2 linked regions of the Oryctolagus cuniculus genome follow. The protein of the gene in region 2 interacts with the protein of the main gene of each other region in a pairwise test. Links are inferred from orthologs where the notes say so. Each region holds a gene or a part of one and is shown on either strand. Other genes may lie near its edges.

Region 1 (6,532 bases), on a different chromosome or scaffold from region 2:
CAGCTAAGTGTGCTTCTGGGGTGAGAACATTCTAGAACATTGGAAGCACACGTGCAAAGGGTCCCACAGGAGCTAACATCCTGAGCCCTAGAATCTTCTAGGAAAGCCAGTGTCAGAGGAGGCCGGGAGGGAGGGTAGGTCTCCAGAAGGTAAGTGTTAGGGGTATGTAGACCGGGCCAAGGGCTCTGGGCTTTGGAGATTAGCTTACCCAGCAGGGGATTCCCCAGAGGGTTCTGAGCAGGCAGTGGGTGATCCAATCTACATTTCCAAAGGGTCACTCTGGCCTCTGTGTGTAAAAACACCTGTAGGAAGGGGCTAGAGTGGAAGGTCCGAGCCCAGGTAGGAGGGGCTGCCATCAGCCAGGTGGAAGATGGTCACCGCCGGCCCTGTTCCTTTTACAATTTCAGATCTTTCTTGAAGTGACAGCCGACCTGAACTGTAACCTGTTCTCCAAAGAGCAGAGAGCACACATCACCACGCTCTGCCCCGAGGTGAAAGTCATGGAGGGTCGGAACGGAATTGAGAAGGTGTGTGGTGACTTCCGAACGATGGAAACAATACATGAGTTCCTGAGTGAGCAGCTCCTGCAGAGCGAGCCATCTCCTCTGACAGCAGAGAGGAAGCCACTTGATAAGCAGCACCGGGACAGCCGGGATAGCTGGGACAGCCGGGATAGCCGGGATAGCCGGGACAGCCGCGTGGCTCCTTCCGAACCTAACAAGGGGTCCGAAGGAGAGAGCAGCCTCGCTGAAGGCCCCTTGTCTTTGCCTGAAGCAAGTCTAGCCCCTTACATCACATCTACAAAGAGGAAGCCACTTGCTCAGCAGGACCGGGGCAGCCGCATGGCTCCTTCCAAAGCAAACACTGGGTCGGAAGAAAGAAGCAACTGTTTTGAAGTCCCTGAGCCTTTGTTTGAATATTTCAAATACGTCTGTCCTCATAAAACAGACTCCATAAAGCGAAGATTTGGTGTCGATCTCAGATTTCATACGAGTTCCCCCGGGGTGGTCTATTTAGACTTCGTTTCAAGTCCATCAGGCGACCTAGAAGGAGGTCGTGAGTCTTTTGTAAGTGAATTCCAGAAGGTCACAGAATCTCTGAAGCAAGATTGTGTCTCTTTAGCCGACAGTGCACAGGCAAATAAAATGAAACAGGAATTGAATCATCATTTCACAAAACTCCTTGTAAAGGAGAACGGAAGAAAATTAACTCTCCTCGGGACCCAAGATGACATTTCAGCTGCCAAACAGAAAATCTCTGAGAGCCTTGTCAAGGCACCTGTGAAAATCCTGGCTCCCAGTCGCATGGTAGATGGGATTGAGGTTGACACTGCTTGCTATAAGCTTTTAGAGACTCAATTACTCCAGGACATCGCAGAGATAGAGAAAAAGTACAACGCTGACTGTAAGAGTTTGCGGAGAAGTCAGAACACCTGCATTCTCTTTGAGCCCAAGGAGAGGGAGCTAGATCTATCTGAGCATGCGTATGCCAGTTTCATCGATGCCTTCCAGCACGCCTCGTGTCAGCTGACAAAAGAAGTTCTGTCACTGAAACATCTGGGCAAGGAGAGAAAGCACTTCCGGAGCACTAAGTTTACCGATGACTTTGAGAGAAATCATCCAGAGCTACACTTGGCGTTCACTTCAAAGTCAATGACTTTGACTGGTTTGCCAGTTCACCTTGCAAAGGCAAAGCAGTATGTCCTGCAGAAAAGTGGGCTGTCTCCATCGGCTGGAGAGAAATCGAATGAGGATCATGAAGCACCCATGGAAATCGATAGTAATGGCTCAGAACCAGCGTCACCTCTATCAAAGGACTCTGTGGGTCCTGGGGCCTCGGGACTGGACGAGAAGGAAAAGGAGATCTGTATCATCTGCATGGATGCCATTACAGACAAACGCGTGCTGCCCCAGTGCAAGCATGAGTTCTGCAGTCCGTGTATCAGCAAAGCCCTGTCCTATAGACCGGCCTGTCCTGTGTGTCAGGTCTCCTATGGTATGCAGAAAGGGAATCAGCCAGAAGGAACCATGGTCCACAGTGTATCAAGATACTCACTTCCAGGTTATACTTCCTGTGGCTCCATTGTGATCACCTACACAATGAAAGGAGGCATACAGACAGTAAGTGTCGCTAAGGGCCAGGGTTTCTCTCTGCTCTGCCAGGATTGCCAGAGCAAAAGATGTTGCCCTCCTGCCTGTTTGACAGTGGACTTCCCAAGGAGTTAGTTATTCCATGGTCAAATGCAAGAGACTAAACTAGTGATAAAGGTCACAGTGTTTGCCTGTAACTCAGATATCATTTGTGTCTATTTTGTTTTCTATTTTTATTTATATATTATTTATTTGGAAAGCAGAGCAACACACAGAGAGATCTTCCATCCTCTGGTTATTCCCAGATGCCTTCAATAGCCAGGGATGGGCCAGACTGAGGCCGGGAGGCCAAAACTCAATCCAGGTTTCCCTCTTGGGTGGCAGGGATCCCACCCCTTGAGCCATCACTTGCTTCCTCGCAAGATTAACAGGAAGCCACAGTTGGGAGCAGAATCAGAACTCAAACCGAGGCACTCCTACATGGGATGCAGGCCCTAAGTAGCATTTTAACCACTGCACCGAAACCCTGCCCTGGTATCTATTTCTTTTCTTCACTCCCTCCCTTCCTTCCTTCCTTTTTTGAAATATTTATTTATTTGAAAGGCAGAGTTATAGAGAGGCAGAGAGAGAGAGAGAGAGAGAGAGAGTCTTCCATCTGCTGGTTTACTCCCCAGATGGCTGCAATGGCCAGAGCTGCACCAATTTGAAGCCAGGAGCCAGGAGCTTCTTCTGGGTCTCCTAAGTGGGTGCATGGGCCCAAGCACTTGGGCCATTGCAGAGAGCTGGATCAAAAGTGGAGCAGCCAGGACACAAACTGGTGCCCATATGGGATGTTGGCATTGCAGGTGGCGGCTTTACCCACACCAGCCCCTGGTGTCTATTTCTTAAGGCAGAGAAAGGGTGAATAGAGATTATATGTTAGGATGAAGGTGGGGACAGAGGAGACAGGAGGATGGATAATGTTCCCAGCATGAATTTGAAGAAAGAGAAAAAGTGTAAACCATGAGAATATGACCCAAACAATACCTTTCTTTCTTTCTTTTGATTTGCTTTCCCTACAAGTTAATACATCCGTACATGTAGTGGAATTTTGAAAGCGGACTGTTCTCATGTGACGTTTTCTTGTCTTCACATAGAAAGAGCACCCAAACCCAGGAAGGAGTTATCCTGGAACACAGCGAACCGCGTACCTGCCTGATAATAGGGAGGGAAGAGAGGTGCTGGAGCTGCTCCGGATGGCCTTTGATCAGAAGCTGATTTTCACAGTGGGGGAATCGCGAGCCTTGGGCACCCCAGATGTCATTACATGGAACGACATCCACCACAAAACATCCCGTCATGGAGGACCAGAAAAGTGAGAGCCTTTCAGTAGTATAATGGTTGCTAAACAAGAGTTTAGAGATTGTGCGATCCAGAAATTCGGGGCTGTGGCTGCAAGGAGACTTTATAGTGGTCGTGTTGGGGACTGTAGAATATTTTGTGAGATGCTAATCTGGGAGGCTAGCCTCAAAGACAGGAAGGTTGGTGTCCAAAGCCCTCTACCCTGCCAGCCACAAAGCAGTCTGCAGTTCTTAAATTTTGCGTCAAGGGGCGGAAGGCTTCAGAACCCAAGGTGAATAGTGTCTAAGATGATGTGATTTGGGGCTTCTTGTCGATTTGAAGGCTAAATCCTTCAAATGCTATTTGTTTTGCTTTCTTTTAAGGTCACTTTCTCCCTCCTCCTTGTCCCCCATTAATCCACAGAGAAGCTGAACCCTCTTGGCCAATGGCATTAATAGAAAAAGTCTTGGTTGTAACTCATATATCTCAGATCCTAGCATTAAAAAATACATTCTAAGGCCTTTTCAAATTCCTACATTTGTAAATATTATTAGCAAATGATTATGGACACCCCCTTCCCCATGCTCACAATAAACTGAAAATAAAAAAGAGGCTGGTTAAAAGGCAGATGCTGGTCAGGTGCCTGGACTCAGCCAAGAGCTGGATGTCCCACATCTGCACACACAAGAGTGGTTGTAAGTCAGTCAACTGCCTTCAAGATTGCCTGTGAATGTTGGCAGTCCTGAGTATTAAGTCCTCAGATGCCAAAGGCCTACTGTACAGATTTTTTTTTTTTTTTGACAGGCAGAGTGGACAGTGAGAGAGAGAGACAGAGAGAAAGGTCTTCCTTTGCCGTTGGTTCACCCTCCAATGGCCGCCGCTGCAGCCGGCGCACCACGCTGATCCGATGGCAGGAGCCAGGATCCAGGTGCTTTTCCTGGTCTCCCATGGGGTGCAGGGCCCAAGCACCTGGGCCATCCTCCACTGCACTCCCTGGCCATAGCAGAGAGCTGGCCTGGAAGAGGGGCAACCGGGACAGAATCCGGCGCCCTGACCGGGACTAGAACCCGGTGTGCCGGCGCCGCAAGGTGGAGGATTAGCCTATTGAGCCACGGCGCCGGCCCTGTACAGATTCTTAAGAACCATTTGTGATGAAACTAAAGGGATTTTTCCTTCTGCAGCTATGGCTACCCTGATCCTGATTATTTGAAACGTGTCAAAGAGGAGCTGAAGGCAAAAGGAATCACGAAACCCGCGGGAAGGAGATCTTAGAGCCACACTCAAAAGGTGCACTTTGGGAGACTTGGTTAGCGCTGCTCCAACACCGGCCGTAGAAACACGTTCTAGAAGGTTTCGTCTCCAGAAGGGATTTCTCTAAGAAAAAAGATGCTGCTACTCTGTCATTTCTGGAGCGTTGTTCTTTTGTGGAAGACGAAAGTCCTGAGGATCTGTGTGATTTGGCTGCGGCAGTGTGTGTCTCCTTTTCCTGTCATCGCGGCGTCCGGGTGCCCTGAGGTCACGTGTGTCCTGCATTGGGGCTCCTGACCATCCACTGGGACTGTTCTCATTGCCATCGCTTGGGTGCTCTTTCAGTGTTTTGTTTCTTTTCCTCTTAATCTCTACTGCTGAAAGTGAAATCCTAGTGCAATTGGAAAAACAAAAGGCTCTGATGGTGGAAAGTTAGAGACCCATATTCTCCCCCTCCTCCATCACAAGGAAAGTGGCCAGAAGCAGAGCCTGGGGGAGTTTGGTAATAAATGGAATAAGATTATCTTGAACAACAGAGCTTGGTATACATTGGGTGCCTAATACATTTTCTTGCCTGATTCAAGTTGCTGGTAACCCAGCAGGGAGATATGTGGTCCCTAAGTCTTTGGCAGAAGCAGGAATAAAGAAACCACTTCTGAGTTCCTACCCCTGACTCAGAAATGAGTTTTTCACTCTGCAATATTTTGATGTCTAAACTGTAACCGGGCCCCTAACTTGGGCCTTGCTTCCTCGGTCCTTTTAACCTGCTCTGTTGGGCACATTTGCCCTGCCATAGTTTCTGGACATTTTTCTTTTCTTGTGGGCATTATTGGACTTTGGAGTATAGGCTGCTTCCAGTTTCAACAAATAAATATTTTAGATGCTAATCATGTATCATTTTATAGTAACTTTAATCCCCACTACAGTAGTTTCATCCCCTTATTAAATCCTTCCAATTCATGTTTTGTCCCTTAGAAGCTTTCAAATATTCTCTCTGAACAAAGGAAATGCCAAGAGTTGAGCCTACTATCGGGAATGTATGACATGTCAGATTTTACTTTTAAATGGTTTTCCACTTCAGAAGAAAATTATAATAGCAAAGGTTATCTTTGTCCCAATCTCTCTCCAAAAATGATGAACAAGATATCTTGTTCTTTTTCTAAACACACACACACACACACACACTTTTTGGTCAGGTAATAAGTACAAATGGAACACTCACTTTGTTTTCATTATAAGAGCTTCACATCTCTGTGGTTGATATAATTAGTGTCCCTTCTGTATGACAAAATAACTGGTGTACAAGAGGACAAGTTAGTAGGTGGAGGTGCTGGGATCTGAACTTGGTATTCTGGCTCTAGCACTTCTGCACGCCAGGACGTGCTGCCTCCTGCAGGGAGCCGCCTAAGCAGCTCCCACTGCTCTGGCCTTCTCTCAGAAAGGGATCTTCCAGTCTTCAAAGCAAATATCCTGCAACAATGTCCTATTAGAAGAACTTAAAAACCCAGACTCTTTTCCATCATCCAGGAAATTGAGGAAGTTTAATCCAAAGGATGTCTTTTATTTTATTTTATTTTTTAAAGAATCCAATTGTATGTTGAGTTTTCTGATGTTTCATTCAATTCTTTACCATTAGGATAACCGACTGCTTTCTGTCTAGTGATCTATCTGCATGATAAAGTCTGGTTCCCACTAAGTTGTGAATCTTCCACTGCCGCTCGTATACAGGCTTCAGGGTGTGCATTTGGAAGACAGTACTTGCTCTTTGAAGGGTGTTATCACCTGGATCTGATTTAAATAAAGTTCCATCCACATTTGGAGCTGAGTGTGTACTTTCCCTCACTCCGTTTTTCCGTTTCAGGTTGAGATTCTGG
Region 2 (6,571 bases):
CAATGAGAAGTTTCAAATAAAACATAAAGAGGATAAGATTAAAAAGTCCAAATTTCTTTCTTGGGCAGTTTGGGACATATGATTCTAGATTCCTTTCAATGCTTGTAAAACTTATGTTTTTATACATATGCAAAAAATTCCTCCAAAAAGTATTTTAAGAAAATCTCACACACGCACACATATACACACACACACACACACACACACACACTTAAATGCATCTCCTACTCAAATAACAGACAGTTCTCAGCGGTCATGAACCCGGGTGCTGAGCAGAGGTTTGAAAGAAGGGCAGGAGAGCGAATGTGCTGCGAGGCCCACTGAGAAGCCTGCTCCGGGGCACGGTAATTCTCAGAATGTTGCACTCACGGCAGAGGATGATAAAAATGCTTGTAATCGATAATTTCTGGATGAAAATCAATTCTTATAGATACCATATTATTTGCATTTCAGAATAAATCTATTTACAAAAAAGTTGTCAAAATCACAGTGAGATACAACTTTACATCTACTAGGATGGTTTTTATAAAACAAACCAACCAGAAAACAAGCACGCAAGATGTGGAGAAACTGCAACCCCTGGGCATTGCTGGCAGGAATGTAAAATGGCACAGTCACGTGGAAGACAGGATAGCAGTTCCTCAAACAGTCCAACAAAAACTACCCTGTGATCTAAACCAGGCTTACAGTATATCACAGGTGTATGCCTGGAAGAATTACCAGCAGGGACTCGAATAGACGCTTGTAATATCAAATTATATGGAAGCATTATTAACAACAGCCAAAAGTTGGAACAAACCAAATGTCCATGACAGATGAATGGATAAGCAAAATATGGAGGATATAAAAAAGTGGCCCATTATTCAGTCTTAAAAAGGAATGACATACTGAGACATGCTCTCACCAGAGGATAAGTAATGTGTGAAGTTACTTATACGAGGCACCTAGACTCCGCACATTCACAGGGATGCAAAGCAGACCGCTGGCTGCCACTGGCGGGGGGAGGAGAGGAACAGGGAGTCATCTTTCCTGGGCACGGAGTTTCTATTTGGGAGGGGGAGAAAGTTTTGGAAATGGACGATGGTGACGGCTGTACAACACAGTGAATGTACCTAATGCCACTGAACTGTGTCCTCAAAAACTTTCGTATGTATATTTTACCAAAACAAAAAAGGACACTTTTGTGCTAATGAGACTTCATGGACCCTTTAAGTCTTAGTCCGTGTGAGGCACTCTCTTTTTGTACATCATGATTCTGTTGATGGGAAAGCAAAGACACCCAAACAGATCAAGACTACCTATCATTGTTCATTTACATCTATTTTGATTTCAGTGGTGTTATTCCTGCCAGGAAAAATCCAGGACAAGCTATTACGGATTATTTTGAAATCGAGAAGGCTGGGGAGTGAAGATCAACAGCCCACACAGCATGTGAAGATGCACACTGGAAGCCATAGAATAGCTGTAAGGAAGCTTACATCCATGATGGTCACGGGGATGTCCCGAATTTTATGAGGTTCCACGTAAGAATTCTGACAATTCAGGGTAAGCCTGGAAGCCAGTTCACTCTGACCCAAACTTTCCAGCTGCAAGAAGAAGCACAGGTAATGTTTGGAAATTATTTCACTTTTCACATTCACATTAAACCCACAGACTTCACAGGTATCATGTATGGTGGGGCCAGAAAAGTCACCAACGAGGAGACACAGTGTCTGAGAGACCATGAACAAGGCCCCCCAGGCAGCAGCCTTTTCCTATTCTGGGAGCCTGGACAACGTTCATCTAACTCAAACTGGCCAACTAGAGCCCTCAACCTAAGCTGCCTGCCTCAACCAGGTGCCCGGGGACGGCAAGCCAACTCCTGGAGCCCAACAGTGGTGGAAAAGCAGTAAGAACCCCAGAAATCATCTTGCCCAGTGGTTCCCAAATGCAAGCCTACGGAGCTGGTTCATCAAATTGATCTGGGAGGTGGGAGAGGGAGGTGAAGTACACAGATTCAGATCCCACGCCCAGGGATTCCAGATGTGTGTCTGGTGTGAGTCCTTGGACTCTGTATTTGTTTTTAGTATTTCTTTTCTTCTACTTGAAAGGAAGAGTGACCGGGTGGGGGATCTTCCATCTTCTGGTTTACTCCCCGAATGCCTACAACAGTGGGGGCTGGACCACGCTGAAGCCAGGAGCTTGGAACTCCAACTGGGTCTCCCACGTGGGCAGGAGGGGCCCAGTCACTTGAGCCATCACCTGTTGCCTCCCAGGTACACTAGCAAGAAGCTACATCAGAAGCATGGAGGAGCCAGGGCTTGAACCAGGCACTCTGACATGGGACGCAAGTGTCCCAAAAAGTGGCTTACTCTGCTGTACCACAGCACCACCCCAGAATACGTATTTTTTTAATTTATTTATTTGAGAGGCATAAAGGCAGAGAGAGTGAGCGAGCGAGAGCGAGTGAGGGCTCCCCCATCTGCTCGTTCACTACCCAATGCCTGCAACAGTCAGGGCTGCGCCAGGACAAGCTGGGAGCCAAGCCACAACCACAACCCAGGTCTCTTGTGTAGTAGCAGGAACCCAGTCACTTGAGCCATCACCACTGCCTCCCAGGGTGAGCGTTAGCAGGAAGCAGGAGTCAGACTGGAGCAGGTATTGAACTCACACACTCCATGTGGGATGTGGGATGTGGGATGCTGGCATCTTAACCGCTAGGCCAAATGCCTGCCCCTGGAATCTGTATAGCTGACAGCTCCCTAAGGAATGCTGATGAGCAGCAACCAGGAAGCACCAGTGCAGCCAGTCCCTCACCAGCAGTTGTCGTTCAGACGAATTAAACTTAACACGGAAGACTGCGGAGTAGTTACCTCTGACACACGCTCGGTGAGGTAACAGATCTTCAGGAACCAAGTGGACATGAAGCTTCCTGGTACGGGAGCTGTGATCCTTACTTACCCTGTCCACCATGAAGTCAATGGCGTTGGCCATCATAGGGTCCACTGGGCCAGAAGAAAAGTTTCCAAGAACTATTTTTTTGAGCATAAATGCTGGCATCAGCCAAAAGCTGAAAAATAAAGACCTTTTCATTTAAACTTCTAAGACTACACATAGAGGACAAATCTTCAACATTTGTAATAGCTAGCTGCTGGGAATCCAGAGAGATGAGAAGACCTAGTCCCTTCCTGCAAAGAGCTCAGCTTCTAGTTTGTTTTTTTTTTTGTTTTTTGTTTTTTTTTTTAAGATTTACTTATTTTATTTGAAAGTCAGAGTTACACAAAGAGAGAAGGAGAAGCAGAGAGAGACAGGGACAGAGACAGAGAGAGTATCTTCCATCCACTGGTTCACTCCCCAGAGGGCCACAACAGCTGGAGTTGTGCCAATCTAAGCCAGCAGTCAGGAGCTTCCTCCAGGTCTCCCACGTTGGTGCAGGGGCCCAAGGACTTGGGCCATCTTCCACTGCTTTCCCAGGCCATAGCAGGGAGCTGGATTGGAAGTGGAGCAGCTGGGACTTGAACTGGCACCCACATGGGATGCCGGCACTGCAGGCAGCGGCTTTACCTGCTATGCCACAGCACCAGCCCCAGCATCTATGTTTTATATATACTTTCCCAAGATGCCAAAAGAGTTACATTTTAATGAAATTTTACTTGATAATTTAGAATAATTATTAGCAATATCTCCAGAGGCCTTTACCGAGATAGTCTTGTGACTCCAAGATTTTTTTTCTAACTGTGTTAAACCACTTCCTTTGGAAAAAGTAGTATTAAGAGAAATATTCTTGCTTTCTGGTTGATGTCACCTTTTGATTGATACTTCAAATCATTTCAAAATACCAAATGAAAGTTACTCCGCCTCCCAAAATTTGCTACCATTATATTCAATGAGCCTAATTCAAGGCAATTTGATCTCTATGGATTTCTGTACATGATCTTTAACTGATACTTATTCTATTAATTTCAAAACGAGTCATTATGGAGGATAAACGCTAATTTCCCTAACTACACTGATGTATCGTGGTGCAGACATCTTGATGCTTACTCTCATTAGAATGGCCTTGCTGGAAGCTGAGCTGCCCTCCCAAGGATCACTGAACCATCTTCCAGTCAACTCTCCAAGTTTTCTCCCACCTCTACTGGTTTATCTTTTTTTTTTTTTTTTTTTTTTTTTTTTGAAAGGTAGTTAAGAGAGAGAGAGACAGAGAAGTCTTCCATCTGCTGGTTCACTCCGCAGGCGGCTGCAACAGGCAGAGCTGAACTGGTCAGAAGTCAGGAGTCAGGAGCTTCTGGGTCTCCCATGCAGGTGCAGGGAGCATGGAGCATGTGGGCCATCTTCCACTGCTTTCCCAGGCACATTAGTAGGGAGCTGGATCAGAAGTGGAGCAGCTGGGACTCAAACCGGCACTCACATGGGATTCCAGCATCGCAGGCGGCAGCTTTACCCACTCTACCCCAGTTTATCTTTTAATGGCAACGATGGCTATGTACACCCTGAGAAGGACGACCCTGCTGGCTCTGCTCACCCCTGTATCTCAGTGTGTAGCTCTTACTAAGTGCTCACATGTTTAATAAAAAGCAGCTGATATGCAAAAGCAGCAATGAAGTGAGGACAGTCATGGTACTCTGTTCTTCTGTTATTGGAAAAATAAACACCATCAAAATAACCAGTGGGCTTGATTTTATCATCTGGAAGCGAAGTATCTGCACGCAGCTAACGTATATAAGCTGCAGGAGAACTGAGAAAATCAACTCCTGAGAGCACAGCAGGAAAAGTTCTGAGACACCAGGGTAGCGCGCCATTCGCTTAGTGATCAAGATGCTGCTTGAAATGACACGGCCCACACCCGAGCGCCTGGGCTGGACTCCCAGCTCTGCCTCCTGATTCCAGTTCCCCAGCAGTGCAGACCCTGGCAGGTGGCTGGGACGGCTCAAATAGTTGACTCCCTGCCACCCGTGTGGGAGAGCTGGCACGAGTTCCCAGCTCCTGGCTCCAGCCCTGGCTGTTGTGGGCACCTGGGGAGTGAATCAGCAGCCGGCAGCTCTATTCGTCTTGTCTTTGTCTGTCTGCTTCTTAAATGAATTTTTTAAATAATAAAATAAAACAAAAATATCAGACTGCAAAGCTATAAAAATGTGAGGAGAGAGGGTAGAGTGGGAAGTATCACCAGGCTCCTAAATCTGTCTATATGAAATACATGGAATGTGTTCACCTTAAAAAATTACAAAATAAAAAAATTTTAAAACTGTGAATACCGTGAAAACAATGTCTACTTGTAACAGTATTTGAAAACGAACCTGATCACAGAGATGCATTTATCGCTGGGCTTTTTTAGGGCAGGGCTGAGCCTGCTGGCAGTGACAGACGCACACACAAAGCCAGCTTCAGTGACCCACTGGACACCTATCCAGGAGACAGGCGCCCTGCTGCTGCACGCCCGCCCTTCTGAGGAACAGAGTGACACCAAGTGCAGCCACTGAGGGACTAAGTGCCCCCGTCTTCAGAATGGGAACACATCTCAAAGAAGGAACCCAGGAAACAAAGGGAGAAGACTAATGTGTACCCGATTTACAGTGGAACATGAGACACAGGGAAAGCCAAGTGCCCAGGAAAATTGTGTCAGGTGATGCTCAAAAGTTTAACACAAAACACTAAGTGAGGGGGCCAGCACTGTGGTGCAGTGGTGCCCCAGCCTGCAGTGCCGGCATCGTCTATGGGTGCCAGTTCAAGTCCTGGCTACTTCTCTTCCGATCCGGCTCTCTGCTATGGCCTGGGAAGGCAGTGGAAGATGGCCCAGGTCGTTGAGCTCCTGCACCTGTGTTGGAGACCCAGCGGAGGCTCCTGGTTCTTAGCTTCAAATTGGCTCAGCTTGGGTCATTGAATTCATCTGGGGAGTGAACCAGCAGAATGGAAGACTTCTCATTCTCTCTCTCTGGCTCTACCTCTCTCTGTAACTCTGTCTTTCAAATAAATAAAATAATTCTTTAAAACAAACAAACAGTAAGTGGGACAAGCAGACCGCCATTCAGTTACACAGGAGCACTGAGGAGAACAGAAAAAGCATGTAAGTGTGTATTAGACGGGCCAACGCTGTAGTACAGCGGGTTAATACCCTGGCCTGAGATGCCAGCATCCCATATGGGTGCCGGTTCAAAACCTGGCTGCTCCACTTCCGATCCAGCTCTCTGCTGTGGCCTGGGAAAGCAGTAGAGGATGGCCCAAGTCCTTGGGCCCCTGCACCTGCATGGGAGACCTGGAGGAGGCTCCTAGCTCCTGGCTTAGGATGGGCATAGCTCAGGCCATTGCGGCCAACTGGGGAGTGAACCAATGGATGGAAGACCTCTCTCTCTGCCTCTCCTCTCTCTGTGTAACTCTGACTTTCAAATAAATAAATAAAATCTTCAAAAAAAATGTGGCCGGCGCCGCAGTTCACTAGGCTAGTCTTCCGCCTTGCGGCGCCGGCACACTGGGTTCTAGTCCCAGTCAGGGCGCTGGATTCTGTCCCGGTTGCCCCTCTTCCAGGCCAGCTCTCTGCTGTGGCCAGGGAGTGCAGTGGAGGATGGCCCAAGTCCTTGGGCCCTGCACCCCATGG

The links. The genes of interacting proteins can lie anywhere in the genome.
Region 1: the proteins of SPG21 (region 2) and DTX3L interact in binary tests that used the Homo sapiens proteins (3 or more experiments, as listed by UniProt). The two-hybrid records come from large-scale screens. The link is inferred for Oryctolagus cuniculus from reciprocal best matches to the Homo sapiens genes SPG21 and DTX3L.

Annotation. Positions count from the first base shown.
Region 1 is NC_091435.1:78,771,473-78,778,004, forward strand, and holds the end of DTX3L (E3 ubiquitin-protein ligase DTX3L), read left to right. Parts: intron 1-407; coding exon 408-2,120; intron 2,121-3,226; coding exon 3,227-3,444; intron 3,445-4,591; coding exon 4,592-4,682; downstream 4,683-6,532.
Region 2 is NC_091443.1:87,992,049-87,998,619, forward strand, and holds part of SPG21 (maspardin), read right to left. Parts: intron 3,050-6,571; coding exon 2,941-3,049; intron 1,587-2,940; coding exon 1,479-1,586; intron 1-1,478. UniProt on the Homo sapiens protein: May play a role as a negative regulatory factor in CD4-dependent T-cell activation.